Linked DNA regions of Caenorhabditis elegans. The protein of the gene in region 1 interacts with the protein of each later gene in a pairwise test. Each region holds a gene or a part of one and is shown on either strand. Other genes may lie near its edges.

Region 1 (6,501 bases):
AAACTTTTAATCGATTTTTTAGAATATTCTATGGATTTTTTAAAAAACATTTTTCAACTCAGATTTTTCGTGTCGAGACCCTAATTTTGACCAGAAAATCGCCGCAACAAAACCTCCTCATATTCGACGACGTTCCCGATCCAACAGATTTGTGCTCTTCCGAAGCCACAAGTAGATCATCGGCAGCCATTTTCTCATTTCCACCATACGCAACGAATACATCATCGTCTCGGAAAAAATCCTGTAGACTGAGAACAGGCCGTCCGGATAGTGTGAATAGTTTTCGAATTGCTCCAGAATCGAGCTTCACGACAAATGTCAGGTCACGGAGCACTTGGTCGAAGGATCTGGAATTTTTTTTTTTTTGGGGTTTTAAGTTTTTTTTTGGGACAAAATTTGAAAAAAAAAACGAGAAAATTAAAAATTCCCACTGCGACCAATCAGCGATTAGCTCCGCGCCCATTTTTCAACCAATCAGATGAAGTGGGCGGGGAGTTCTCTTTTTGGAGGGAATATAACCGAATTTTCACCAACCAATCAGCGCCTTCGAACTCCGCCCACTCCATCTGATTGGTTGGAAAGTGGGCGGAGCTAATCGCTGATTGGTCGCAGTGTAAATTGGGTTTTTGTGTTTTTTTTGGGAAAAAATTCGAAAAAAAAACAAAAAACACCGATTTTTTCCAATTTTAGACAAATTCCCACTGCGACCAATCAGCGATTTGCTCCGCCCATTTTTCAACCAATCAGATGAAGTGGGGGGGGGGGGGGGGGGGGGGTTTCGAAGGCGCTGATTGGTCGGGTAAAGTTTCATTTTGGAGGGAATTCAAAATTGATTGTTTTTTTCGCTTTTTTCCTATTTTCGTAATGAAAAAAAATTTTTTTTTTGTAAGTTGCGACGGTTCAACATTTTTAAGAAAAAAGACAAAAAATTCAAAAAAAATCTGCGACCAATCAGCGATTAGCTCCGCCCACTTTTGAACCAATCTGAAGAAGTGGGCGGGAGTTCTCGTTTAGGCATCTTCAAACTCCGCCCACCTCACCTGATTGGGCGAAAAATGGGCGGAGCGAATTGCTGATTGGTCGCAGAAAAATTCGAATTTTTCGTTCTTTCGCATATTTTTTTTTTGAATTTTTTGTCTTTTTCATTCAAAATTTTGAATCGCCGCCACTTTTTTTGGTTGAAAAATAATTTTTTTTTCCTTAGGAAAATAGGAAAAACGCGAAAAAAACAATCATTTTTGAATTCCCTTCAAAATGAGACTTCACCCGACCAATCAACACCTTCGAACTCCACCCACGTCGCCTGATTGGTTGGAAAGTGGGCGGCGGAGCGAATCGCTGATTGGTCGGGGCGATTTTTTGCTCTCACCTCGCCGTCTTCTTGTTCAACAAATGCCTACTAATCCGCCTTGGCTTCACCCCATTCCGAATAACCTTGATAATTCGTGGAAACACGAAATCCGTATTCTCATGACACGGCTCTACGACACTCAACGCCAGCTTCTTCGTCTCCAAGTGTCGATTGTATCGATTGGCAAGTGTCAGACGCCAACTTGGCTCGGCGGCTCTCGAATAATCGACCGGTTTGAAAGCGTCGGTACTCGAACACACATAACCACCGCCGTCTTCGAATTGATCTACGGAAGTGATGCGTTGAGCGCCGTCGATCGTGAAAATGTGACGGATTCCGTGTGGAAGAGCCGTCGAGTCACAGATTACAGTTTTCATCAAATCTTCCATAAGTGGTTGCATACTCTTCACCCGGTCACTTTGTAAAGCATACTGAATCCCTTTGAAATATTGATCCCCATTTCTATAGAACCGGAGTCGCTTGGCTTTCAGTAAATGCGGATACCCGGATGGCCCGATTCGACACCTCCGCTGCATTTCTGAGACCATATCCCTGGACTCTGCGAGCTCATCTCCATTCGTTCCCTCGGTTTCCATGGCACATACGGATGACGTCATTGACGCTTCCGCAGTGTTCGTGCCACTATTCGGCATGCTTCCCTGGGAAATTGCCGTTGGGAAGACGCTTGTCTGATTGAGATTAAGAGTCGATGCTCGTGGAGTTGTCAGTGTTTCTTCACTGATCACTGCGGTCTGATTGTGATGAATATGATGGTGGAAGTGTTGTTGAGGAAGATGCGAGAATCGACGATGTGCGGAGGATGTTGATGGAGCAGATGATGATGGACTGATCTTTCTATGAACAACTGGAGATGATGATGATGTCAAGACTGCGGAGAGAGGACGTGTCGAATGAGGGAGATGGGCTGGAAATTAGGATTATATTACACGGGAACACAAAAAAATATTTAACGCGCAAAATATCTCGTAGCGAAAAGAAAACTACAGTAATTCTTTATATGACTACTGTAGTGTAGATTTACAGGATCTCGATTCTTTAGATTCAATTATTTTCGAATAGTGATAACGATCAAGGGTGTCGGTTTTTTCGATTTTTGAAAATCGAAAAATCGATATTTCGAAATTTTTTCGATTTTTTAAAAATTCGCTTAAACTTTGATCATTGTTCTTATTTTTAGATGTTCTTTATCATGAATATATAAACAAAATTAGATTTTTAAAAAATCATATCTTATGGGTAATTTTCTGAATTTCGGAAAATAGAAAAATCGAAAATTTTAGGGGCCGCTTTTTCCGGCAAATCGGCCAATTTGCGGAAAATTTAAAATCCGGCAACTTTCCGATTTGCCGGAAAATTTAGGGGCCATTTTTTTCCGGCAAATCCGGCAATTTGTCGATTTGCCGGAAAAATCGTTTTCAACAGTCTGACGGTATTAATCATTTTTTAATAGCTTTTTACAAATAAAAATGTCTCTTTTTTCAAGTTTTCAACTCAGTACTATTGAAATTAAACAATCTATCCGTGAATTTTGCAAAAAAGCAGCATCGCACCGAAAAAGAGGCGGAGTGTAATTTCGTAATTTCGCAACCTTGCGGCACGGTTTTTTCTCTATTTTTTATTTGTCTTTTTTCGAATGAAAGTATTACCCAATTTACTTATTATTAGATTGTGAGGATATTTCATGGTTGTAAAAAAAATGAAATTAATCGAAAAAAAAAATTCAGAAAAAAAGGAGAAAAAACCGTGCCGCAGGGTTGCAAAATTACGCTCCGCCTCTTTTTCTGTGCGACGCTGCTTTTTTGTTGCAAAATTCACGGATTCATCATTAAAAAAAACCATATCCCGTAAGCTGAAGCAAGCAAGCCACCAACGGGGAAATTCAAGCCAAACACTCAATTCTTACGTCGTTTGAATCGTGGAATATTCGACGTTTTTCCAGCAGCGGAAACCCTCTTCGATACACGTGGCAATGTGTTGGCTCCATTCATAGATGCTCCATCCGATCCTCCAGCTTCAGATCCAGGTGGTGGTGGTGGTGGTGGTGGTCTAGCAGTTGTGTCGTTGAGCTGCCACGCCGACGTTTGTGGCATCGTTCGAGTAGAGATAGTCTAACACCGAAAAAAAACACCAAATTAGCGATAGTTAGGCGCAACCACGAGAGGAGGACGGAGCGGTGTCAGGCCGTCCCATTACGGTTTGATCTACCAAAAATGCGGGAGATGAGACGCAGATTTCTCAGCTGATTTAGCATCGAATGAGAGTGTACTGACGTCACATTTTCCTGGGGGAAAGTTCCCGCATTTTTTGTAGATCAAACCGCAATGAGACTGCCTGACACCACGTGGGGATATACCACGTGGCAACAGGCCGTCCCATTACGGTTTGATCTACCAAAAATGCGGGAATTTTTGGCCCAAAAAATGTGACGTCAGCACGTTCTTAACCATGCGAAATCAATTGAGAAATTTGTGTCTTTTCTCCCGCATTTTTTGTAGATCAAACCGGAATGGGCCTTGGATATGAAAAAGAGAAAGGAATGCAAAATCAAAAGATTGGACAGAAAATGAACTAAAAATCGAGGAGGACAATTCCAATCGGGTATGGTGCAAGTGCTATAGACGGGAATTAATCTTTTTTTTTGTTATTTTAGAAAAACAATTTTTTTTTCTGAAAAAAAAGTGGAAAATTCAAATTTTTTTGAGATTTTCTGAGCAAAATTAAAGTTTTCTGGGAAAAAAAATTTTTGTCGGGGATTCAAATTTTCCGAAAAAAAATTTGGCGGGAAATTTAAAAATTTTAGAATTTTTTGGCGGGAATTCAAATTTTCGGAGAAAATATCTATTTTGGCGGGAGATTCAAATTTTCTGTGAAACAACTATTTCGTCGGAAAATTCAATTTTTTTTCGAGAAAAAAAACCTATTTAGGCGGGAAATTCAAAATTTTTTTAATTTTTTTTTGGCGGGAAATTCAAATTTTCGGAAAATATCTATTTTGGCGGGAAATTCAAATTTTCCGAAAAAAAAATTTGGCGGGAAATTTTTTTTTATTTTTTCGAATTTGTTTTGGCGAGGATTCAAATTTTCTCTTAAAATAATTTTGGCGGGAAATTCAAATTTTCTGAGAAATTTTTTTTTTCGATTTTTTAAAGATTTTTGAAGCAAAATTTCCATCAGGCTGTCCCATAACGGATTGATCTACAAAAAATGCGGGAATTTTTCGCCCAAAGAAATGTGACGTCAGCACGTTCTTAACCATGCGAAATCAGTTGAGAACTCTGCCGCATTTTTTGTAGATCTAGGTAGATCAAACCGAAATGAGACGCCACGTGACACCAAAAAAAAGGAGATAATTTTACTATGCTATGACTAGCTGACAATTCGAATCATTGTCCAAAATGAGCTGTCCGCGAGCATTGGTCTCCAAAATGCATGGAATGTCGAATGTGGGAATTAACTAGGCGTGCACACAGAGAGCAGTGAGCAGTGAGCTGCTTCTCGTTTTCCTCTCATTCGAAAGAGCTAAAGGGCAGACGGGTGTTGTTGTGGGTTGATTTGGCTGACGGGAGGGGCGCGCGCGAGCCAACGCAGAGCCGGGGGACGGAATAGACGAGGGATTAGTTAGGGGGTATCCGGAGGGACCACAGAGCCAATTAAACAGCTTCTCATTTGTGCAGCGCCACCTGCGTCTCCGCCGAAAAAGGTGCGGTTTGTGATAAGAATATTACACGGATTTCTGGCTTCCCTCCATAAATTGAAATGGAAGAGTTTTTTGCCGAACTAGGCCAGGCCAAATCTGGGGTAGATTTACGTTGCGTTGCGTGTCGCGTCGCGGCTCGATTGTAAAACTAAATGTATTTGTCCGTGTGGAGTACACGACTTTCCCACGCGTTGTCCGGCAGGCGATTGTCAATGGAGCGCGAAAAATTCAATGAGGAAGGCCAGAAGCCCGTGATACTGAAGGTGAGGTAGTGTGAATGGGGATTTTACTTCAAAAAATAGTCTAAAATTCAAAAATATCACGAAAGAAAATGAAAAAATCGCGGAAAAAAAAGTTTCTTCTAGTTTAAAACTCCGGCCAATCAGCGATTTGCGCCGCCCACTTTTCAACCAATCAGATGGAGTGGGCGGAGTTTGAATATGCTGATTAGTCGTGTTGTTAACTTTTTCTCGATTTTTTCTGAAAAAAACGGGGAAAATTCGAATTTTCTTAGAAAAAAAGTTTGGCGGGAAATTCAAATTCGCGAATTCAAACAGCCAAAATGAAAATTTTTTTTAAAATTGGCTTTTTTCAATTTTTCGCGCTTTTTCCGAATTCGAGACTATTTTTTGGGTTTTTTTTCTGTGAAAACCCGAAAAAGTCGAATTTCGATTTATTTTGACATAAAAATTTTAGAAAAAATCATAAAAAATATATTTTTCGTGGCAAATTCCTTCGAATTTCAAGAAAAATGCTTTAAAATTGGTTCAATTTCGCATTGTAAAAACTATAAAAACTAAAATTTCGAAATTTCCAGAAAAACTGCTGGTGAAAAATTTGAAAACATGGCAATTTAGCGAAATTTCTAATTTCCAGCCTTGATTTTAACGTCTAATATTCAATTTCGACCGGCTTAACCGCAAAAACTCGTGAGCTTTTGAACTGAATAGCGAGTTGATAGAAGTCTGTCTGCGTCTCCATGGGAACACTAAATCTCAGTTTTCCTCCTCTCGTGGAAGGATCTCGTTGCGAAATTGAGAGAGCCTCCTCGTTTTCACAGCAATTGATGAGAAAAAGAACGTTATGTTCTGCAGAATGGAAAAATTTGAAAATTGCGAAAAAAATTTAAAAAAACTACAAATTCCACACGGAGGGAGGCTTTCAGAAGGTAAAAACCGCAGAAAATAAGAGAAAAAATCGGTTAAAATTCATTTTTTTAAGGCTTCTCCAACGTACCTATAAATAGTTTCTAAACTATGGATTTTGCCGAGTATGTTGTTCGAGATCTGAAAATTGCGATTTTTTCCGGGAAATCATTGAAAATAAAGCATTTGGGCGAATTTTAATCGAGTTTTAAGGGTTTTAACCCAGAAAAAATCGAGTTTTTAATGTAAATTTCGAGAAAAAACCTAACATTTTTTGAGAAAAATCT
Region 2 (7,626 bases), on another chromosome or scaffold:
AGGTACATTAGCTCCACACATTTGCGGATTCAACACTTTTACAAGGTACGTTAAGATTGCGTAAATTATTTGAAAAAAATATTTGAGAGAAGTTGACACTGACAGCAAGTTATTAAGTTTTTGTTCTGCAGAAAATGTATGGATCCTGAAGGATATTGCCCTGGCAAGTGCATGAACTTCCGTTACACCTACAACACTTTATACGACTGCCGATGTCTTGCGATTTAGATGCGTTTTTCTTTTGAATTTTGAGTTTGGTTTTCAGTTTTAAATGTTCACCCGACCCTCTGTGTATTTGTATATTTGTATGTATTTTTTCATTCCACATTGTTGCACATGTCTGGCTCATATGATTTGCGTATTCGTAATATAAGTGTAATAAATTTTTGTGATACGCTAAGGGATGATGAACGTAAAGAAAATGCTGCGGAAAAATCAAAAAGTGACACTTGTGACGTGGTCACATGCAGTCTGGGATAAAAATCAGAATATGAAATGAGTGTAAAATCTAATTTTTGTTTAAATTGGAGACTGAAAGTAGAATAAACCAAGAGAAGTGGCACATTGAATTTCGGGGGGGGGGGGGGCAGTTTTTTAAAATTACTTTCCGATAATTTGTACTCTCTCACAGTATTTTTGATTCTTACGGCTGCATAATTTCGATTGAGTTTGAAATTGCATTCAGCGTTGTAATGTGCCCAACTGCCAAAATGAGACGACTGGTTTTGGATGTATTTTTTTAATACTTACAGTGAAATTTTTAGTGATTTGATATATTTTAAATCATAAATTATTGTCTCCATAACTCCATTTTATTCACCCACAACTGGTAGTGATTAAGAATGAGCTCTTCACATTTTTTGTAATTCCACCTTAATGAGTCACCGCCTATCAATCATATAATCTTCATACTTGCTTCATTCCAAACTCTCTGCTTTGCTCTTGTCTTGCTCACTTCTCAGCAGAATCTCATGTTTCACCTGAACTTCTTCTTTCTTCGCTTCTCACTGATTCGTGGAAAAAATTGTCGCGTGTGCTTCCGTTGCCCATACCGCTTCTGACTTGCTCTTATCTTTTCTTTGCTTTTCTTTTTCGTTTTTCGCCTGACACATCAGCCACCAAGCTTTTATTAAAACACGAAGGATATGATTTGTTCATCAGCACTTGTCAGCAGCTCGCTCAAATTTCGACGTTTCGGATGCATGCTTTCCTGAAGTTTGCAACCTCGAAAAGCTCGCATGATATGGGTTTGTCAAGAAACCAAAAGTTTCGAGTTTTTGAGTCGATTCCTAGAATGTCATCAATCTCATCTTCGAACATTATAGTATAGTTTCCGAGCAACAAATGACCGCGGTGGACCTCCTCAAAGTGATTTTAAATTGAACAACTGTGCAATAAATAACGAGGATGAAAAATGTGTGCGAAATGTTGTGTTGTGTTGTGAAACGAAGAAAAGTGCCGAGGATAAAATATCACTCAAAGTGGAGTTGATGGATATGTGACGACATAGGGAGGAGAACTTATTTTGTTTAGATATGGGGTTTTAATACACCAAAAGACATATGAATAGGAACAACAAATTCCAATTTCAAACAGATTACCTATGAGAAAAGCAATTTTGTTTTTTTTTTCACTTGAAAGTTTGTATACTTTTTAAAATTAATTGTTTTTTTTTAATCTTTGCTACTTCCTGAAGGCAACATGACTTTCTGACCCGCACAGGTTTGCTCAATTCTGAATAATTTCTGTTTTGGTCTAGTATTTTACTCTTCAAGACTCGATCATAATCAATGCATACTCGCAGGCTTTGAGTTCGATTTGAAAACGTTCTCAGCATCCATTACTGCTTCCTGTTTCTCTCTAACTTTTCTGCTCACCGCACAACTCTTTTTGATCTTTAGCCTCACTTTTGGTTTGAGTAGAAGCGTAGAGCATTTTTCCTTAAAAAAAATAGAAAGAAAAGTTGATACCTCTCTTCTTTCCTATACTACAGTAGTATTTTCAACCCCCTTCCTCATTCTTTTTATCACTCCCTGATGTTTCAGCTTCTTCTTCTTCTTTTTCCTCTTCATCTTCTTCTTTTTCTTACCTCTCTTCTTGTTTCTCGACTCCGCCCAGTATCATCGTCAGTCACTTGTTGTGCACTCTCGTGTCCGCGGTCCCGTCCATTATCAGCCGCAACATGCAGGCTACTGTAGGCTTATTCGCCTTAGCGGTCTTGTTCTGCCTAGCCGACGCAGGTGAGTATATATGTTTATAGATGGAAACTGGTTTGAGGTTCAGCTTTCATTATGAGAGGGCGAGAAGTAAGGTGTAATAGGTAAAAAAATAAAGCATGAACCTCAAGCTTGTCATACACAAAAGGTATTACTAACAGTGAAGTTGATACGCAAGTGTAAGAAAAACAAGTTTCAGGTAGAATCTCGGTATCCAGAGGAAAAAATGTCACAAAAATTGATGATTTGTGCGCCAGAATGCACAACAACACTGCTCTTGGTAAGTTCATTGAATTACATCAGGTCATTTCCCCTGAAAAATTAATATTTTATCTCATCACTATAATTCATTAAACTTCTCTAGGTTTTAAAAACTGTATTGTTCTGAAAATCTTATTTTCCTTTTGAATATTATTGGTTTCTAATTAACATATGCGTTTCACTAAAAAATTGATACAAGTCATCTAAAAACTAGTATTTCTAAAATCATTGATGAAAAATAAATTATTGTTTTAGTTTCATTTATTGACAATTCACGCATTAGGTGTTTGCAGCAAAACAAACATAAATCAATTATCCGTCATTAACTTCGTGTGTGTCCACGTACCACTTTGATTATTTCAGAAGGATCATCTCCATTGCTGATGATGCAGGCAACCGCCTACGAGTGTCAGAAGAAATGCGTGGACATCTTCCCAGAGTGCTCCGCAGGTAAAATTTTCATTTTTGCACCGGATCCTATCCGGCCCAAGAAGATTGATGTGATGTGTCAAGCAATATCTATAACAAATGACACTCATCCGCAAATATCTCTTTTTCTGCTTCTTTAACTGATTGCTTTTGCAAATTTACACTGCCCCTCCTTGATTCGCAAAACTCCGTCTTCGAAATTTGATCTCTGCGTTTGGGGTCATGAAGACTAAAAAAACATTAACTTCACAAAAAAGTTCAACTTGTTTTCAGTGGTTTACTACTACTTGCATAACGAAACAAAGAAGCATTTCTGCTACCTCTTCTCCGACAACTCGGTTCAAGATAAAATTGACCTTGTCGAGCAAAAGCCAGAAAACAAGAAAGATATTGTTAGAATGCTCGAACTGGTCGTCGACTGCCACCAATTTGATGCTCATCCACCACTGGAGGAGGACGGTTTGGCTTCGTCTACCGATAAGGTTGACAGAAAGAAGAGACGTAAGATTTCGATCGTTACTTCGGTTTATATAAAGTTGTGATTTTAGAACAAGGCGATGAAGCTGTTGAAGGAGTCGGAGATTGGACAGATTGGTCCCATTGCTCCAGTAACGGACACGAGGTGCGCTCTCAGGCATGCGAATACGGAAGAAAAATCCAACGTCGTGGATGTCCAGCTAGATCTGCTCCACAAAGAGTCCCAGCTCCACCAGCGCAGCAGTATGCGCCACGTGCCCCAGAGTACCCAAGTGCACAGCAACAGCAGCAGCAAAGGGAACAGCAACAAAGAGAACAACAACACAGAGAACATCAGGCTCGTCTTCAGCAGCACCAGCAACAACAACAACAACAGCAACAGCAGCAGCAGCAACGTCCACCACAGCCACAGCCACAACCACAGCCACAGCCACCACAGCGACCACCACAACAGCCACAGTCCTTCTCTGGAACTCACGAGCTTCATCTTCAAAGGCAGAGAGAACAACAGCAGCAACAACAACAACAGCAGCAACAACAGCAGCAACGTCAACAAAATCCACAGCAACAGCCACAACAGACAACACAGTTCGGACAATCTCAAATCCAACTCCAAAGTGGGCCAGTCCCTCCACAACAACATCCGCAACAGCAGCAGCCACAGCAGCAACCAGAACTTGAGCGTTCTCCACTCGATCAACATGCTCAACTCTATCAGCAGAGAATGTCTCAATACCGCGAGAACTTCAATCAGAGACATCCAGCTCGTCCAAAGGCTGATCCATGCCCAGGAGGTTTCTGCGCCCCAGTTCCACAGGCCCCACAACAAGAACGCCCAACACCACCGCCAGTTCTTGCTCCAGTGATCAACACTGCCACTCAGCCACCACTTCCACAGCCCTACCCAACCAGATATCGTCCAGCTCCCCCACCACCGCCAGCATGCGATGGACAAGGATGTGTCAACCCACCAGTTGTTTCTGGAGTTTGGCATGATTGGTCTGACTGGTCTACCTGCTCATGCACCTGTGGAGATGGAGCTAAATCAAGAAGACGTGAATGCTCCACCAATAACTGCCAAGGAGCTGATTATGAGACTGAGCCATGTAATCTTGGCCCATGTCAGACATGGTCTGAATGGTGCGAGTGGTCAACTTGCTCTGCTAGCTGTGGATCAGGTCAACGCGAGAGAACTCGATTCTGTCATCTTGGTACAAACAGATGTGAAGGAAAGGACTACGAATCTGAGCAATGCAGTGCTGGACCATGCCCAGAATGGTCTCAATGGGAAGATTGGGGACAATGCTCTGTGACTTGCGGACAAGGAGTCGCAGTTCGTCAGCGTACATGTCTCGGAGGTGTTTTCGGTGATCATCTCTGTCAAGGACCAAAGACTGAACAACGTGCCTGTGATGGTGGACCATGCTCTCTTTGGTCTCCATGGCAAGAGTGGTCTACATGCTCGGCTTCATGCGGAAGCGGAATGAAGCGGAGACAACGTGTCTGCCAATTTGGAACTGATTGCCAAGGACCAAACGAAGAGAGCCAATTCTGCTACGGACCTCCATGTGCCGAGTGGACAGAGTGGTGCGAGTGGTCAGGATGCTCTTCAAAGTGCGGACCCGGACAACGGACTAGAACTCGTGGGTGCCTTGGACCAAACGGGCAAGAAGCCACTACTTGCCAAGGACCAAGTATTGAAACTACCCTTTGCGAAGGGCAATCTTGCTGCAACTGGTCTGAGTGGTGTCACTGGTCCATGTGCGACAAGGAATGCGGGGGTGGTCAGGTGAGATATATTGAATATATGTTCAGAACGGGGTAATAATGAATTACAGTCAATTCGCACTCGTACATGTTTGAACAGCGCTGGAAGTCCGGATTCATCATGCCACTGCGATGGACCAGATCGTGAAGAAAAGGAATGTAACAGTCAGTCATGTGCTCCTCAATGCGCTTGGAATACTTGGTAGTTAAAACTGTTACATTGGTATTAATTAGTTTTTTCAAATGTCCAGGTGCGAATGGAGTCCATGCTCAACACAACTTGCATGCGAAGTTGGAGTACAATCTAGGTCTGAAATAGTTTTTGATGAAGACATGTTAAGAATCTGAATTATATCTTACAGAAGCCGTCAATGTGTTGGAGAATCCGGATGTCACTGCATCGGTCTTGCCGAAGAATCCCAGCAATGCCGTGGATTGACTCAGTGCCCACCAAAGCCACCATGCTAATTTTTTGTGTTAAAAAAAATCAGTCAGACAGGGTTACATCGCCCATTTCTTTCATATTTATGTTTTTCAATTTGTACTTATATTCAATACTTTCATACAACACCGCCTCAAATAGTCGAATCTCTATATCTAGTCAATTAATTGTATTTTTCACGTCTTCCATTATGCAAATGCCTTTCAACGATAGGTTAAATTAAAGTTTGTTTTATCTTTGAAATTTATGTTTTAATAGCATTCACTGCCATAATTTGCATTTTCAATGTGGTTTAAATTTTTATTCTTAAATTCTACAATAAAGTTGTTTCACAGCCCATTGAATATAACATCAAAACATACAAGCCAGTTAACATTCAAACAAGCTTTCAATCAAAGTGTTGTACAGTTTCAGAAAACCACTCCTTAACACGAATTTTCATTAAAGTATATTGGTATTTATTAACCAAGTTTGCTGATTTATAGGTAAAACTAAAAATAGAATCAGATGCAGGTATACAATTATCAGTTGTTTAGACTGTCAGCAGAAGATAACATGGGATCAATGCTATTTTTAATTGTTATGTAGTATATGCACCCCTCCATTATCTAAATTATCTCCCCCTTCTAGGAGATTCATACAACTCATTGATTAAACATGATAGAACATATGTACTCGTTGTACTACAAGGGTGCAATACCCAATATTTCTTGTTGCCATCGTCAAAATCCTTCAAGAACAAAATCCTTTTCCTCGACATCTTCATTTGTGGCACATCTTACTTTCCATGTAGATCTTGAAGGATGTGTCAGAGTTTCCGATTCCTATAATAGTTTCTTTACTAAATGTTCCATATTTTCTTGCCCTATCTGAATTCAAAACAAGTTTCTCTTCGGCAATTAAAAAATTGTAATTTAAATTTTTTTTTTTCGTCACCTTTACTAGTGATTATTTTGATTTTTCCACCAGATTATTCTCTTAATGTGATGTTATAACATATTTTTCTACTCTCCTCTCGTGAAAGATTGACCAAGATCTCTTATGTACCCAATGTATTTGAAAAACGCCTATAAATAAATATGCATACATTGCAAACCGTTTGTTGTGGATTTTGGAGGGATGAATTATTTTTTGAACGTTGTTCTTCCGTTTAGCCCGTTTTCTTACAGGTAGTCACAAGTTACTCGCACAATATGGACCACCTCGTTGTATTATCGATTATTGGCCTCGGCGCGTCTATAGATTCGGTACGTACTGAAACAGTTTCAATATGCATAAAGAACATAAACAGTGTTACAAGTTAAAAAATATATAAATGATAAATTCTATTTTCAAACGGGTTTTTTCAGAAACGTGAGAAGAAAAATATTAGCGTTGGAAAAAAGATCGCATTCATAAAGCTTGGTTATTTTTGTACATACAGATATTTATTTTTATATTTTCAGACATCATCGTTATTGTCCTGAGGACAGGTTAAGATCTTAAACGTGATTCCCAAAGTAATATTTATTAAATAATAATAGCAAATACAAGTTGGTTGAATGATTGACTGAATGATTGAGGGGTGCTGCAAGAGGCCAAGAAATAGTCTTATATACGGAAGAGTTGATCGAATTATGTAAATGATGGGGCGACGGCGGTCATGAAATGGAAACCGCGGGAATAATACCGCGGGAATCATAAAACGGGGAAATCAAAGAGCGAGCGATTTGACATCGTTTTTGTAATATTGACTTTGGTTAATCAAATTATTTTTCCTTCCAGGCTTCCATTAATACATCATACCAGAGAGTTTGAATAATTACTTTTGAACTAATCGCTTTCCTGTTATTAGTACTTTTCTGGCCGAACAGCAAATGAACGCGTTTTTGTGAAGACGTTCGACTTCTAATATTACTCTCAAGTGTAATTTTTCAAGGAAATGTTTTTATGCTTTTTGCTCGTATCTTGACCATTCCTAGATTAGATATCCATTTTATAACTGAACTATTCGTCAATAATGTGTCATGATGGAAATTTTGCAACATAGTAAAA
Region 3 (8,530 bases), on another chromosome or scaffold:
ATGTTTTTTGTCACCAACATATATGACACAAGTTGTGTGTCACACAACTTGATAAAAATCAAATTTTATTGATAATTTTCTGGACTTTTTTTCTTCGATGTTTCGATTTTCGCTGAAAACATTGAAAAATTGAAAAATGGCATCCCTTGATCAGCATAGCTATATATAATGTACCTGAAGATTCCTAATAGCTTGATCATGATTCCGCATCATTTCTTGGAACATATTTGGATTACGAATCATCTCCATAGTTTGACGCATTACATTCGGATCGTTGAGAATGTGTCCAACTTCTGGATTTCTCTGAAAATATTTATTGTCGATATACGAGAGAAATGTGGAAGATTAAAAAATTAAATAATTTTTCGAATCCGAAAATTTACAAAACAAATATCCAGGAAAAACTCGAACCTCAATCAATGCTTGGAATTGTGGGTTGGATTGAATAATTGTTCTCATAAACTCTGGATTTCCTAGAAGTTGTTGTGTAATTGGATTATCCATAACTGAACGCATAGCATCTGGATTGTTTAAAATATCAGCAGGTGATCCCATTCCTCCCATTGCTGCAAATGGATTATTGGTAGGATTCGGTTGTGAAGAAGGTGTTGGATTGGAACTTGGTGCAGATGAAGCTGTTGGTGTTGCAGCAGCCGGCGCTGGTGTTGGACGGGCTTGATTTCTAATAACCAAGTGGACGGTGTGACCATCAGCGATTTCTAAATTTTTGTTTATTATTTTTTGGAACACATTTTTCAACTTACTGTGCTGTGTGAGAGTTTCTTCATCCTTCAGAATTTTTCCGGTGTAAATTATACAAACTTGTTCTTTGTTCGCAGTTGGAACGAACACAAGAACCTTGTCTTTTAGCTGTAAAATATTAATTAAACACTGTGATTTACACATTTAATTTATCAAAATGGAATAATCACTTGAATTTTTATCTAATTCTCAAGAGCAAAATTTTATTTTTTAAATAAAATATAACATACTTCTGAAACTGATGCATCCGCAGCAATCTCAACGTCATACTTGTTCGACGGTGATTTCACGTGAACTTTGATGAGTGCACTCTCTGTAGCCATCTTAAATTTGAGAAATATTAAAAAACCGACAAAATTAAATAAAGAAAAAGGATTGAGAGAATGAGAGGCGGAGACGGAAAAGAACACGTTGCATCGATAAATCGAGAATATTCTCGAAGCGCAAAAAGAAATTTCGCAACTATTTCAGACCGAATAATGTAATAATGTAATGGGTCTCTTCGATAGAAAATAAACGAAGATAAACGAAGACACAATTCTTCCTGACGCGCGAGCTTCAATATGCACGTGATGACTAATTTGGTTTCCATGGTGATCTTTTTGTTCCTTTTATCGATTCAAATTTACAATAAAAATAAGAAATTAAAGTTCTAAATGGCGCTCCAATCAATTTGCCTTCCAATTTAACGTCGATTCCTTCTATATCAGGTCATAAAATGAATAAAAAACAATGATCAATAAAATGATGCGGTAGTTGCGTAAATCGACACATGATGGTCGCCTCTTCCGTGCGAGACCCATTGGGCGGAGTTCTCACAAGAATGAGGCCAATCGGCACACAACACGCGTGCGACAGGCAGTGAACGACGTGTTTTTGGCTCAGTTCCTACCAATCCCTGGTGTACACACGAGCGCCACGTGGACCTTAACAATTCGGGTCTATTTTTATGCTTCTGCTCTGCATTTTCTGGATTATTAGTAATAATATCATTAAAAGTGATATAACGCTCCCCGAGTCTATATAAAATTTCTCCTCCATACAACACATGTTTTTTGGCTTTCTTCTTCTAAGCTTAAAATTTATAGTTATTTACTAACTGTATTTTCCACTTATTAAAGATAATTTTTGAAAAGTGTTTGTAAATACTTAAAATTGAACCCGAAACAATCTGTATTTGTCCATTCACATGTGATTCACAGAAAAGAATGAAAATAAATGCGAAAAAAAAATAAATAAAGTAAAGGCGCATTGATTTTACCGCTCGCGGTATCTCGCCACGAAAACACGTTTCGCGTCAAGCGGCTCACGTTTTCGATGCGATCGCGGTTTGTTAATTGCGAAAACACCTTCCCTTCTCTTCAATCGTTCGCTCAATTTCTAGAAAATATTTCTGAATAATCTGAAAACCTCTAATCTTGTTTCTTAGTTTTTAACTTTTTGTCGGTGTTCCCGATAATCTCTCGCCCTCTAAACTCACTCGATCGATTGTCGTTTATAGGTAAAGTTTTTAGGTAATGATTTGGGTCCAGGCAGCTTTGGTCGCCTCCTTCCTGGCGTTCGCCAGTGCTGGAGGAGCCGTTCTCGAGTATACCGACGGAAACTTCGATGATCTCATCCAAACCCACGACATTGCTCTTGTCAAGTTCTACGCTCCCTGGTGCGGACACTGCAAGAAAATTGCCCCAGAGTATGAGAGAGCTGCCCCAAAACTCGCATCTAACGATCCACCAGTCGCTCTCGTCAAGGTAAGATAACCATACTTATTTACACAGCCATCGCTCATATATCGATCGCAGTGACACTGACAAATACGCGAAAGCTGATAAAACAGCAACGAAAGCCACATTGAATAGAAATATATGAAATGCATACAAAGGATTCTTTGAATTTATTGTTCTAGTCCTTATGCATATAGAAACATTTGTCCGTCATATATATTATGTATGCTGGTCCAAAATGGTTATTGTGTATTCAAAAGGCCATTGACAATGAGATCGGCTCGACATTTACATTTTCCCACGCATCAAATCACTGTTTGTTGTCAGGTCTTTACTCTACAGAATACGGACATCAATTAACGATAAGAGCAAAAACACCAGTCGCGTAGCAAACAGTTTTATCTATACCACAAACGAGTGCGATATGGTAGTAAATGAAACAAAAGATTATGTTTTTGAAGTTGAAGATTGTAAAAAAAAAGAAACAAAGATTTGAACCACGGTTTAGTAATAGGAATCCAGCCCCCCTTTAAGAATTCTCAGTTTTGAAACAGTAAATTCAATATTATCTCGAAAACGATCTATCACATGTGCATTGCCATAGAGAATAGTATATGTTTGAAATTTTTGAAGCAGTAATTGACAGACTTTTTCAATTAAACATTTTACGGTGTTCCTTTTGGCAAACAATTCCTCTTCTTTTCACGTGTATCTTTGTAAAATTCTCGAAATCTCTTTCCCAGTGTTATCCGAAAAAAGGCGGAGCTTGCCGCAAAGACCCAGAAAAATGGGCGTCACGCTCAAGTTTTCGAGAAAATATAAGATCCACCTCCTTGCGTTGTACGGCTCTGACACATTTTCCGGAGTTTTTTCAATGAAAAGAGGCCATAAAACTTCATTTGACCGACTTCGTTGTAATTTCGTGATTCTAAAATTAGCAACGCATGTTATCGTTAGAAAACAAGTAGTTAGGGATGGTCACCAAGGGTGTCAGTGTCCCGTAAAAATTACAAAAACGGGACAGTGGGATGTCCCGTTCCCGCGAAAACACCCAAAAAACGGGACAACGGGACATCCCGTTCCCGTGAAAACGCTCAAAAACGGGACAGCGGGACGTCCCGTTCCCGTGATAATTTTAAAAACGGGACAACGGGACGTCCCGTTCCCGTGAAAACACCCAAAAAACGGGACAACGGGACACGGGACTTGACACCCTTGATGGTCACCAAATCATGTGCTACACAGCACCCTAGATTGCGGGAGCCGGCCCTGTTGTCGTGAAAATGAAAATGTTCTCCAATTTCAATCAGTCGATCATGTTTTAATTCGAATTGAAAATATGATATTTAAAGCTAATTTTAAAATGCTTGAATTAGCTTGCATTTTTTTAAAAGTTGAATTTCAATAATTTAAGTTTTAATATCTCTGAAAAGGAATAGGATGATGCATGTGAATGAAATACTGATTTCTCTGCCAATATCGCATCCAAGAGAGTCGATCAAAAATTAGTGATGCAGCCTCTAATAGACTTGCCTGAATAGTTTCAAAATTTTCAAATATATTCTTTATATGTATTTTTTCAACTGCGTCATATAGTTTCCAAAGCTAAGGGTCATTCGTAGCTTAGTCTGGCATGTGACACTAATAGAGGTAATTTCAGTATCCTAATAGTAAGAATCAAAAACATGACCGAATACTTTTTGATTAATTCGATCGTTTCAAGGTATTGGAAAGATTTCATCGATTAGTTTTATTTATTGGACGACGATAGTGACGATCACATAGTAATAACGTGGGTGTATTATAATAATGTTGAAAGAGCCTGTTCAAATCATTTTGGTTGACACATCTTGTTTATTCACTTCTGCAATATGACGAAAAGTGCAGCGTTGTGGCCATGTTCCAATACATAATCAATGGATTTCTGAATCAGGGGTGTGCGGCAAATTTGCCGAAAATTGCCGACTTGCCGAGCTCGGCAAATTTGCCGATTTGCCGAATTCGGCAAATTTGAAAAAACCAGCAATTGCCGATTTGCCGAGCACGGCAAATTTCAAAAAGGTAGATTTGCCGAATTTGCCGAGCTCGGCAAATTTCGAAATTTGCCGCACACGTCAAAAATTTTACAGTACAATTTTGAGTAAAATTATTGATTTTTTCGCCAAAAATTTAGTAAAATGACACAAAATTGAGTTAGTTTTATGCTTAAGCAGACATACTACACGGAACTAATTCAGAAACCAGATGTGTGTTAAGAATTCGGTAGTTTTGGTGTTCCAAAAAACATCAAAAATTATCAAAATTTTCCGAGTTTGTTAAGCACGGCAAATTTTGAAAAACCAGCAATTGCCGATTTGCCGAGCTCGGCAATTTTTTCCATTTGCCGCACACCCCTGTTCTGAATCATGGTCTCGCAAAGTATATCCAAAGTTTGAAAAACATTTCATGGTGTCGTAACTTATATTTCAATACGTTTTGTGACTTTACAATATTTATTGCATTTCACATAGGTGAATGAACTCATTATTAAATACGCATATGTATTTCTCTCATTGTTTTTTTTTCAGGTCGATTGTACCACCGAGAAGACTGTTTGTGACAAATTCGGAGTTAAGGGATTCCCAACTCTTAAGATCTTCCGCAATGGAGTTCCAGCCCAAGACTACGATGGACCACGTGATGCCGATGGTATCGTTAAGTTCATGCGCGGACAGTCGGGACCTTCTTCCAAGGAACTTAAGACCGTTGCCGAATTCGAGAAGTTCACTGGTGGAGATGAAAATGTTGTCATCGGTTGGTTGATTTATTTCTTGGCTTTTTTAAATTTAATTATTTAAAGGATTCTTCGAGAGCGAAAGCAAGCTTAAGGATTCTTATCTCAAGGTTGCTGATACCGAACGTGATCGTTTCTCCTTCGCTCACACTTCCAACAAAGACATCATCAAGAAGGCTGGATACTCTGAGTAAGTACTAATTGTGAATTCGCATGTTCCTGATAATTTAATGAGCTATTTTTCAGTGACGTCGTTGTCTTCGTTCCAAAAAAGCTCCATAACAAGTTTGACACTAACGAGTTCAAATATGATGGTAACTACGACACCGATAAGATTAAGAACTTCTTGGTCCATGAAACGTTAGTCATGATTAAATTATTGTGCTTGTAATTAATTATCATATTTTAAGTGTTGGATTTGCCGGAATTCGTACTCAAGGAAACTTGTTCCAATTCGAGCAAAAGCCAATCGTCATTGTTTACTACAACGTTGATTACGTCAAGGATCCTAAGGGATCCAACTACTGGCGCAACCGTGTCTTGAAAGTTGCTCAAAACTATAAGAGAAAAGTTCAATTCGCCGTTTCCAACAAAGAAGAATTCTCTTCTGAAATTGAAACCAATGGACTAGGAGAGCGCAAGGACTCGGATAAGCCAATCGTTGCCATTCTCACTAATGAAGGAAAGTATCCAATGGACCAAGAATTCAGGTGTGTTAAAGCTCTGATATATTATCAGAAAATAATTTCAATGTTTTTCAACCGATATTTAATATAATAATAATTTCAGCGTTGACAATCTCCAGCAATTCGTTGATGAAGTTCTCGCCGGAAATGCCGAACCATACATGAAGTCTGAGCCAATCCCAGATGAACAAGGAGACGTTAAGGTTGCCGTTGGAAAGAACTTCAAGGAACTTATCATGGATGCTGATAAGGATGTGCTCATTGAATTTTATGCTCCATGGTGCGGACATTGCAAATCATTGGCTCCAAAATACGAGGAACTTGCTGAGAAGGTAGAATTTTTTGTTACATAAAATTAATACGACGTATTGTGAATAAGAATTCGCAACAGTTGGTTTTTTTTAAACATCTTCCCATAGTTCACATTTAAAAAGTTTATTTTTTACTTATTTTGAAACACGAATGTGAGAAAAACTTAAAAATAAAAATAGAAGTTAGCATGCAAGTTATTTTTTACATAGTAATTTTTTATTTATTAAAGTGCTTTTGTGATAAGCTTTCTGAAAGGTTTTTCAAAAATACAAGTTAACTTTAATTAAACTTTTTTAAATATTTAAGTTTACACTGGGAGACACTTAAAGTATTCAGGCTTGTGATATAATTTGTAAAATACTTTCAAATTTTGTAATTTCAGCTCAACAAGGAAGATGTTATCATTGCTAAGATGGATGCCACCGCCAATGATGTTCCACCAATGTTCGAAGTTAGAGGGTTAGTAATTTTATCCAATGCTGATCCTGAATTATTTGTATAATTTTGCAGATTCCCAACTCTCTTCTGGCTTCCAAAGAACGCTAAGTCGAACCCGATCCCATACAATGGAGGACGCGAAGTTAAGGATTTCGTCAGCTTCATCTCAAAGCACTCTACTGATGGGCTCAAGGGTTTCAGCCGCGACGGAAAGAAGAAGAAGAAGACTGAATTGTAATTGGATAATTATAGAGAATTTTTATCAAATCCCTCCCTCGTTGTTTCCCTTTTGTAATTTATTTATTTATTGTTTGCAGCTTCGACTAGGGTTCCCAATCGAAGAATTTTCAACTTGACGGTTGTTTCACGGTTTCTTTCTTGTTTTATGATGTAAAAAGGACCGTTTGGTGCCTTCATTATGGCGTTTCGTACGCCTTTTTTGCCAATAAACCTTCTGGTCTCTAATATTTGAGTTGTTCTCACACAAATACATGAAAAGCATCAATGTGGGAGGCTCTATTCTGACTAAAAATGCAAGTTTGAATTCGCGGTTAGAGTAACGAGCACTTTTGATCGCGAGCGGTTGCGTCGCGGTTGTGAGGTGTTCATGGCTGGGCGATTCGCTTTTTTCTGAAGTGCGCATCTCTTTTTGGACCGATTTCTTGGCTCACAAGCAGAATTTTTCGATTAAAATGTTTTCTATAGACAGCTAAATTTAATTAGTACCCTTTTCAGTTAAAAAAATATAGGAAATTGCACCGGAAAGTACTATTAATGGGCCTAGTGCAATTGTTTTTTATTCCGATGTTAACGGGGATCTAGTACCGTATTTAACAAATTGCACATACTTTTGAGAATTTTTGAATTATTTTGATGTTATTTTATTATAGTTTAGTGATGTTTGAAAAAAAAGTTTTTTGATTTTACGTCAGTGATTTCATTGATTTTTTTTTTGAATTTTTTTCCTCTTGTAAATATAACGGTATCGGCGCCAAAATGAAATAATTTGAATATTAATAAGATTGTTTGCTAAAATTAGCTAAAATAGTTATCAAAATAGTAATATTTATGAATATAAATATAATCGAACAAAATTTTGCTAAATTTTACCGTCTTTTTGGAATTTTTACGGGGTTTTTTGTTGAGAAAAAATAAGAATTTCAGATATGTGGAATCAGTCTGAATCATCATCTGGGAGTGATGCAGAACCTGATGAGAAAACAGATGAACCTGTGAGGGAAGAAGAAAATCCTGAAGGAAACAGTACCAGTGAAGATAATGATGAAAAAGAAAAAGGTTGGATATTAACTATTTTCAGAATTCATCAAATACATTTAAAATCTTAAGTATCTGAAATTTTGTGAACTACAAAAAAGAATGTTACATTACACGAATACTATTTTAAAAAAATAAGTTATTTTTATTTGACTCAATTTCCAGCTGCGGATTCACCTGAAAGTTCTTCTGATCAAAGTGACGACAGTGATGATGCTAGTGAAAACTCATCAAGTTCAGAACCAGATGAACCTGCCCCGAAGAAGAAAAATAATAATAATCGGGGGATGGATGCAGAAACAAGAAAAGTATGTGTCCAAAGATCAAAAACACAACAGAAATTAATTTAATATATTCCAGCTGCTTGAAAATGAAAACTACTTTCGACGTTCAAAACGATCAAAACGACAAGATGATTCACCGTCGGATAATTCCGAAGAATCACAATCTTCTGAAGATGATTGGGATGATCGACGAAAACCACGGCGAACAGTAACAAAAAAAGTTGTCAAGCAAACGAAAAAAGCAGTTTCAGTTGTAAAACGGAAGTCGGTGAAAGGAAA
Region 4 (8,554 bases), on another chromosome or scaffold:
TTAGCCTTAGGCTTAGGCTTTGGCTTAGTCTTAGGCTTAGTCTTAGGATTAGTCTTAGGCTTAGGCTTAGGCATAGGTGGGGCTGGGGGATTATTTTAATTTTTTTTTTTGAAAATTATCAGAAATTTTTTACATTCAATTAAACAAATTGTAGTGAATATTTTGAGTTGTGTAAAAATGATATTTTTCACAACAGTAATAATATTTAAATTATACATATAAACCACATTAATAACGTTTTTTTTAAGTATCTGATCACTTTTTTTTGCATGCTAAACTTATATTTTCTGTTTAGTATAAAACTCCATCCAATTCCCCGTTGTTCCAGATGAGATCCCTTCTCCTCTTGGCACTTGTGAGTGCGTCGGCGTACGCGAGTTTCGACAAGATCAAGGATTCTATTCAAAACCCATTGGCACGTGGATTTGGTGACGATATTGCGTGGGTCAAGTGGGAAGATGCAATTGAGACTGCTTTGGATACTGATAAGCCAATCTTCTTGTTGATCCACAAGTCTTGGTGCCATGCTTGCAAAGGTAAGAGCGGCAGTTGAGAAAATTTAGGCAATTTCTTATAATACGTGTGGTATCACACTGTCCCATCACGGTTTGATCTACAAAAAATGCGGGAATTTTTTGCTCTAAAAATGCGACGTCAGCAGGTTCTTAATCATGCGAAATCATTTGAGAACTCTGCGACTCTTCTCCCGCATTTTTTGTAGATCTAGGTAGATCAAGCCGAAGTGAGACACCCTGACACCGCGTGATTGATTACATGCTTCACTAATAATTTGAAATTTAATCATTTTATTCAACAAGTTAGTCCAATAGAGCGCACATTCACATGTCCCTTCCCCACTGCAGCTTCGATTTTCTCTCCGGGTAACCGACCAAAGACAAGAAAGGAGAGGGATTTATTCATCCTTGACACACTTTTTTTTATTAATTCAAAGAATGGTGTCAGAACACCTTGTAAACCACAAAGCTTGTACATATAGTTTTCAAGGGAAAAATCGGGAAATTCAATTGATATTTTTCGAAAATTGCAAAAAAAAACGTGCAAAATTTTGAATTAAGAAAAATGCACATTTGTACAAATTTTGGGAAATTCAAAAATTTTCACGTGATGGGACCCGTGTGTGGGCGAACCACAGTTTAAATTTGATGTAAAATAATATTTATAATTTTTATGACTCAACATTTGAAACTTTAAACATAATTGTATTCGTTTAAAAATTTGTGAAAAAATTGAAAATTGGTTTTAAAAAATTTGAAGTTTAAATATTTCAAGTCCAGAAAATCCAATGCGAGAAAAAACCTCAAAATTTTTTTAAAAATTCCAAAAATTATATAAAAAATTATTTTAAAGCTTTCAAAAATTCAATAAAAATTCCAAACAAATTCCACTAATCTGAAAAAAGGATAAAATCTATTGGGGTCCTAAGCCTAAGTTTGAGCCTAAGTCTAAGTGTAAGGCTACGACTAAGCCTAAGCCCAAGCTGTAGCTTACGTCTAAGCCTAATTTTTAAATGTTTCAATTTCGAATTTTCAAATTTTCCAGCTCTCAAGAAGACCTTCCAACAATCCAACGCCAAGAAAGCCTTCAAAAAGCTCTCAGAGCACTTTGTAATGGTTAACACCGAAGACGACGACGAGCCATTCGAGGAGGAGTACCGTCCAGACGGAAAGTACATTCCACGTCTGCTTTTCCTCGACAAAAATGGAGATCTTCTTCAAGAATTCAAAAATAAGAAGGCCGAATACAAAAATTACGCGTATTACTACTCATCACCAGCTGATATCCTTAACTCTATGAAGGATGTGCTTAAACATTTTGGAGTTGACATTCCAGAGGCTAAGAGAGGTGATAAGCTTAAGCCAAAGAAGCCAGAGGGAAAGAAGAAGGAATTGTAAGAATAGAGATTGTTTTATTGATTTATTGATTGATTTTCAGCTAATTTATTTCTTATCATTTCTTTGCCAATCTTGTTAACTATTATTAATTATTATCACGAATAAACTGGTTCTCGATACGTCGGTTTTTACGAAAAATTTAAATTCGCGCCAAAAACCTTTTCGAAACCTCGAAAAAATTTTAAAAATCTTATGAAAATTGCATTTTGTGCCTGAAAATTTTTAGCCAATTTTTTAGAAAAAAAAAAAGTTTTAGGAAAATCTGTGACATTTTGAAAAATTCAGGAAAGTTTGAAATTCCAGCCAAAAAACTTTTGAAAACTAATTTTTTGAAAAAACTAATTTTTTGAAATTTTTGAATTTTGCATTCATTTGAAATTGACTTAGGCATAGGCTTAGGTCTAGGCTTAGGCTTAGTCTCAGGCTTAGGCTCAGGCCTACGCTTAGACGTAGGCTTAGGCTTTGGTTTAGGCTCAGGCTTTTTTCGGTGATTTTAGAAAATCTGAAAAGCTTTTTGAAGTTTAAATCTGAACAAAATTTTTTTTGTTTGAAAAAATTTATAATTTCATGAATTTTTGAATTTTGCTCTCGATAATTGTTTAATTTAAAAAAATTCAAAAAAAATTTGAATTTTGCCACAAAATAGGAGATTTAAAATACACCGCCCACATATTGGTTCAAATCTAAATCAAGGCTTTCATGGGAGGCAGGCGCGGTTTCAGGGCCTGACGCCTGTCTGCCCGCCTGCCTTCCGCCGCGGCCGACACTTTTCGGGTTCCGCACTATACAGAAGGCCCGAGGCAGGTGAAGGTCGCCGCAAGGTAGGCACACCAGGCCTTTTGGCGCCTACATGGAAGGATTAATCAAAACCAGTTTCCTAAGGGATTAAGAAACTTTCTCTCCTTCCCTATATTTGAGTAGTTATGTAAACATCCTCATATTCAGAATATGTCACGTCTCTTCTCCAATGTTCCGAATTATTTTCCTCTTATACATCGTCGGGTCATTTCTCTACCAGCAATATGAATTCGCAGTTTGAATTTCGAAATTTAGTTCTAAATTCCCAATTTCTTTGGATTTTTCTAATAAATCTTATCACCTCTGCCAATTCTGAAGCCCTAGCTTCTCCTTATCAGTATCTGAAGGATCTTTGCCCTGTTGGACAGCTTCCACTAACGGATACGGAGCACGTGAAGACGTGTGCAAGCTTATGTCCTCTTGGAGCATTTTGTCATAGGGGTATATGTTGTGTACCGCCACCGCAGTGCAGGCATCCGGCTTATAGGTGAGGAAATTTTTTTTTGAATTTTGTGTTAAACTTCGCAGATTATATATTGTTTTTTGAAAACAAATAATTTTATTTTACCGCCAAATTGTTTTTAAATGTTTTCAAATATTTAAAATTGGCGCCAATTTTTTTTGAAGTTTTTGGAATATTTAAGTTTGGCGCCAAAATTGTTTTGCAATTTTTAAATAATTTAATTTGACGTCACAATGTTTTAAAATTTTTAAAATATTTAAATCTGGCGCCACTTTTTAAAATTTTTTTTAAATATTTAAAATTGGCGCCAAATTTGTTTTGCAAGTTTTTAAATATTTAAATTTGGCGCCAACTTTTTTTGTTGATATTTTTGAATTATTTAAAATTGGCGCAAAAATTGTTCTGAAATTTTTTTAATATTTAAAATTGGCGCTAAATTTTTTTTGCAATTTCTAAAAAATTAAATTTAGCACCATTTTTTGAAATTTCTTTTAATATTTAAATTGGGCGCCAATTATTTTTGTTGATATTTTTGAAATATCTAAATTTGGCGAAAATTGAAATTTTAAAATTTCTGTCAAAATTATCAAAAAAAAAAATTATATCAAAAAAATTAAAACTTGAAGCTTGCCCCAACTATTTTAAAGATTCAAAAACTGAAAGTCGCGCCAAAGTTGCTAAAAATCTGAAATTTTGAATTTCGCGCCAAAAATATTTGAACTCAAACTTCAGGATGTCTACCGGCTTTCCATGTCTTCCAAAACGTAAGAATAACTGCCCAGATGGATCATTTTGTGTATCAAGTAGTCAGGATGGAATGTCGATATGCTGCTCAAACAGGAGCATTGAAAAGTTGGTGATTTTAAGCTCCGCCCACTTCTTGGTTTTCTGGGAGAAGAAGACCATTCTAAAATAAAAACTATAACTACAAATAAAATAAATCCATATTTTTACAGAAGTTTCCCGATAACATCACAATTAAAACTCTCCAAATCTGCACCGTTCCCAAAGGAAAAGCCGATGCAAAAATCCACGTCATCACTGATGACGTCACTAGACTCCTCCCAAATCTGTCCGAAATCCCATCCAATTATTGCACATGATGGGAAATCTCTGGTTTTGTGCAAGGATTGTGTTCAGGGGTTAGTTTTGGACTGCGTTTTAAAAATTAAAAAATTTATTTTTAAACGAAAATGTTACCTAAACTCGAAATTTACAATTTTTGCACCAAAAAACTGGAGAAAAATTTTTAGTGCCCAAAAAAATTATTTTTGAACATTTCAAATTTTTTTAGATTTTTCAGAAAGTTCACATAATATTGAAGATTTTGATTTTGTAAATTTGAACAAAAGCATAAAACTGTTTGTATCACAAATTAAATTTTTTTAACATTTGAACATTTTGGGTCCCACCACGATAAGTTTCAGAACCGATATTTTCCTGGAAACTGTTATAGAAAAAAAGTAAAAATTCAGATTTATTTCGGGGTACCCCGAATTCAAACAAAATATCATAATATGAAAAAAATTTTTAAATCAAACGTTAAATAATATTTCGAATTTTTGGGTCCCACCACAAAAGCTTTTTTGCCGAAAATTTTGTGAAAAAAATTGGCAAAATTGTATGTATGATGCTTTAAATTTAACATTTCAACTAATTTAAAAAAATTAAATTCGAAAATTTTTTTTTCAAATTCTATATTTTCAGAGTTTGCGCAAAATTCCGCACCAGTAACGTAGAGGTATGCTGTCAAAGTTCTGACGATATTTGTGGTGTTGGAAGTCAAATTTTGATGAATGGATTGGTGCCGAGGGACTGTAACAAGAAGCCATGTGGGATGGGGTAAGTGAATTTTACAGCTCAAGCCATGCTCTTAAAATAGCCAGGAGCTAATTTTTTTTGCTCGAAACTTTCCGAAAAACATCTAAAACTTGGAATCAATTTTTTGATTTTTTGAAAATTAAAGTTGAAATTTCACAAAAATTTTTAAACATTTTCAGAACTTCTAAACTAAAATTGCACCGCAAATTTCAAATTTCCAGCTACGAATGTTCGCTAACCCCGACGGGTCTTCGTGTATGTTGTTCGTTAGCCCAATGCCCGTCAGGAGTGTTTGCGAGAAGTGTGTGCGCAGCCGGATGTTTGAGAAATGAAAAGTGCATGGAAATTCAGAATGAGATGTGGTGTTGTCCATCCGAGGAATCATTCGGTTCAAGAATTGAGATGGTTTGTAGGAATGGGGAGAATGGGTAAGTTACTACATTGTACTGTAGTACTGTATACTGTATAGTGTACTGTTGGGGTACTGTAGCTCAGTTTCCGTTTGTCAAAAATTATCAAAAAATTTAATTCAGTGTTTATCATCCAGAAAATAGCCTTAATATACCGAGTATAACTGTAGAAAAATTTATGGAATTTCTCTAAATTTTTCTAAATTTTTAACGATTTTTTTTCAATTTTGCAAAAATATTTGATTTATAACACTAAAAACTATTCAAATGCCAGAAAATGGAGCCGTAATGACCAAATATATCTGGAAAATTTTTAAATAAATTTTCTAATTTTTTAAAATGATTTTTCGTCAATTTTTAAAAAATCTAAGAAACGGCCGAATTAAATTTGAATTCCCGCGCAAACCATATATTTCGGCCGTTTTTTAAATTGTTGAATAATTGAAAAATCATTTTAACAAATTCGAAATTTTTTTATTAGGTGCTTCTATTGAATTTTTCTACAGTTACATTCGGTATATTGAAACTATTTTATGTCATTTAGAGCAAAAAAAACTTCCAAAAATTTTATTTCCTCGAGTTTTTTTAAAATTTCAAATGTACTTGATTGTCTAGATTACTGTAGAAATGCTTATGACTCAATTACAAAAAAATCCCAGTATTGATTCTTATTCCAGAACCGGTGAAAAATGTGACCCAGCTTTTCCGGCGTGCTCACAAGGAGCATTTTGTGAGCTGAACAAGGAGAAGACCGCCCATATTTGCTGTAAGCGGTATAAAAATCGACGTGAGTATTTTATTGCTTAAACCTATAAAAACTAAAATTCAAGAAAAAAAAAAATTTCAGTCGGCAACAGCCGTAAAACCCTTCTACCCCCTCCATTCTACTACACTACAACTACTATGAAGGCTCCCATAACCATAGCCACAACTACTGCAGAACCATACCCTTTTGAATCTGTGTAGGTTGCTTAATTAAAGGCAAAGTAGCGCCAGAGGGGAAAGTGTTTAAAACTACTCCATTGGTGTCAAAATGATCGAATATCATTTTAAAAAATTTCAAAAAATTTTTGAAATTTTTTTATTTATTATCAAAAAGTGACAATTACTCAGTTTTTGCCACTCATAATTTTGGAAGTCAACCAAAAAAAAATTTTTTTCTACATTTTTTATACTGTAATTTTTTTTTAATTATTTGTATTAAAAAATTGTAGGGGTTGGAACATGCGAAATTGCTTTGGATTTCCTCAAAGGCTCATATTTTTCAAAATGTTTGCAATTTTCCAAAACTGACCGGGAATAATGAAAAATCTAAAAATTTTTGGACTGTTTGTTAATGATATTTGGTCATTTGAAATAATTTTAAGTGTATTTAGACACAATCCCCACTGGCGTTACTTTACTTTTAAACCATCAAAGGTATCTTAATCATATCTTAATATTTATTACAGTCCAAACTGCCAAGACCCTGAAGCCCGTCCACTCATGGAAAACGGCTTCCCATACATTTGTGATCATATCGGAGATCCGTGTATTCTTCGATCAGGATATTCGTGTCAAGAATCTGATATTGATGATGTCTATGTGTGTTGTACTATTCAAATGAACCGAATCCTTCCACCACAGATTCCAATGATTGGGCCATTTACGTTTATGACGTCATCAACTACTACAACTACTGAGAAGCCGATTGAAGAGGAAGAAGTGATTGCGCAGCCGACATGCCCATTTTCATATATGCCGTCGAAAAATGTTAATCAAGATGTGCAGCGTTGTCTATCACTGTTTACGTTGGAGTGAGTTCCAGAAAAATAAAAAATAAAAAATTTTTTTCGATTGTTTTTTGAAACTCTAAAAATCAGTATTATCTTATTATCTTTATCCAATTTTTTAAAATTTTTTTTTAAATCGGAATTAAAAAAATTCTAACATACATATATTGTTGAAAACGTTTAACGTTCAAAAATCGATATTTTAAAATAATTCCAGCTGCCCACTCGGCTACACGTGTCTACCATCTTCCACTACCGACAGTTATCTATGTTGTATTCGGAAGCCTGTGGTCTATTAGGCTTAATTATTGATTTTTGTTTTTTTTTTCGAATATTTGTGCCAATTCTATATTTTTTAAATATTTTTTTAGCTAATGAACATGTTTTCAAACAGTTTAATTTAAAAACAGCCTAATACAAAAACTTGGAAAACTAAGCCTAAGCCTAAGCCTAACCCTAAGCCTAAGCCTACACCTAAGACTACACCTAAGCCTAAGCCTAAGCCTATGCCCAAGTCTAAGACTAAGCCTAAGCCTAAGCCTAGGCCTAGGATAATGAGAGCATTTTCAGACTGCTCTATAAAGCCAAACAAAGATTTTGCAATAATTCATAACGCATTCGATTCACAATAACAAGTTCTTTAATAAAACTATAAAAATGTAAAAAGTTAGGAGTCAAATTTTTATTTATTTAACACTGAAAAATTGGAGTGTGTAGATAATGAGAGCATTTTCAGACTATGTTTTTTCAGAGCTGACGCCAAGCTTATGCCTAAGCCCAAGCCTACGCCTAAGCAAAAGCCATAATTCTGAAAATCTAAATTCAAATGTTAGCATCCAAGTCTGGGCTCAACGGTCCAAGCCTGAAAGCTTAAAAACCTAAAGCCTGAATATTTTTGCAAACATAAGTAAACTGAATTGAAGTTTTATCTGTGATGTACAGTTTTAATTGACAAGAAACATTGCAATCGGGATTAGTTTTTTTGAAAAACTGGATAATAAAAATGAGGGAAAATTAGTTGAAAACACAAGAAAATAATGACAGATTATGAAAAATTGGCAACGAATATAATAAGTTTGGTAAAATTATACGACTGGGGAGGAAGAAGCCGACGATTCTTCGGATGAAGAGGAGCTTGATGGTGACGTGGATGATTGTTTTGTAGTCTGGAAAGTATTAGTTTAGGTGGTTTGGTCAGGTTTAGAAATTTTTTTTTAAATTTAATTTGGTGCGAAATTTTATTTTTATTTTTCAGGCCAAATTTACGGCGCAAAATCGGTGTAGATTTTTTATTTTGAAATTTTTTTAAATTGCAATTTAACTTAATATGTAGGTATTTTAAGTACAAAAATAATCGAAAATTATTTTATTATTTTA

What was found.
Region 2: the proteins of zyg-8 (region 1) and T21B6.3 interact in a two-hybrid assay, tested with the Caenorhabditis elegans proteins (one large-scale study listed by BioGRID).
Region 3: the proteins of zyg-8 (region 1) and pdi-3 interact in a two-hybrid assay, tested with the Caenorhabditis elegans proteins (one large-scale study listed by BioGRID).
Region 4: the proteins of zyg-8 (region 1) and Y57A10A.24 interact in a two-hybrid assay, tested with the Caenorhabditis elegans proteins (one large-scale study listed by BioGRID).

What each region holds. Positions count from the first base shown.
Region 1 is NC_003281.10:12,058,700-12,065,200, reverse strand, and holds the start of zyg-8 (Serine/threonine-protein kinase zyg-8), read right to left. Parts: upstream 3,489-6,501; 5' UTR 3,463-3,488; coding exon 3,276-3,462; intron 2,277-3,275; coding exon 1,370-2,276; intron 348-1,369; coding exon 114-347; intron 1-113. UniProt on the Caenorhabditis elegans protein: Probable kinase. Kinase activity may be involved in positioning of spindle poles in meiosis and mitosis. Plays a role in spindle positioning during asymmetric division of one-cell stage embryos.
Region 2 is NC_003284.9:10,943,459-10,951,084, reverse strand, and holds T21B6.3 (Apple domain-containing protein), read left to right. Parts: upstream 1-2,132; 5' UTR 2,133-2,182; coding exon 2,183-2,240; intron 2,241-2,415; coding exon 2,416-2,496; intron 2,497-2,760; exon of another isoform or gene 2,761-2,824; intron 2,825-2,840; coding exon 2,841-2,927; intron 2,928-3,179; coding exon 3,180-3,407; intron 3,408-3,454; coding exon 3,455-5,172; intron 5,173-5,221; coding exon 5,222-5,352; intron 5,353-5,401; coding exon 5,402-5,458; intron 5,459-5,512; coding exon 5,513-5,618; 3' UTR 5,619-5,925; downstream 5,926-7,626. Other genes in the region: K09C8.7 (uncharacterized protein), read left to right, coding at 1-45, 132-228.
Region 3 is NC_003279.8:7,014,537-7,023,066, reverse strand, and holds pdi-3 (Protein disulfide-isomerase), read left to right. Parts: upstream 1-2,276; 5' UTR 2,277-2,279; coding exon 2,280-2,510; intron 2,511-5,050; coding exon 5,051-5,276; intron 5,277-5,322; coding exon 5,323-5,446; intron 5,447-5,502; coding exon 5,503-5,616; intron 5,617-5,666; coding exon 5,667-5,966; intron 5,967-6,045; coding exon 6,046-6,274; intron 6,275-6,636; coding exon 6,637-6,713; intron 6,714-6,764; coding exon 6,765-6,930; 3' UTR 6,931-7,155; downstream 7,156-8,530. Other genes in the region: ubql-1 (Ubiquilin), read right to left, coding at 175-303, 412-719, 765-870, 993-1,085; chd-1 (Chromodomain-helicase-DNA-binding protein 1), read left to right, coding at 7,859-7,988, 8,133-8,275, 8,328-8,530.
Region 4 is NC_003280.10:12,240,060-12,248,613, forward strand, and holds Y57A10A.24 (EB domain-containing protein), read left to right. Parts: upstream 1-2,886; 5' UTR 2,887-2,935; coding exon 2,936-3,198; intron 3,199-3,906; coding exon 3,907-4,026; intron 4,027-4,130; coding exon 4,131-4,316; intron 4,317-4,881; coding exon 4,882-5,016; intron 5,017-5,216; coding exon 5,217-5,423; intron 5,424-6,082; coding exon 6,083-6,192; intron 6,193-6,252; coding exon 6,253-6,367; intron 6,368-6,856; coding exon 6,857-7,201; intron 7,202-7,394; coding exon 7,395-7,476; 3' UTR 7,477-7,570; downstream 7,571-8,554. Other genes in the region: txdc-12.1 (Thioredoxin domain-containing protein), read left to right, coding at 329-536, 1,561-1,913; tag-276 (uncharacterized protein), read right to left, coding at 8,263-8,343.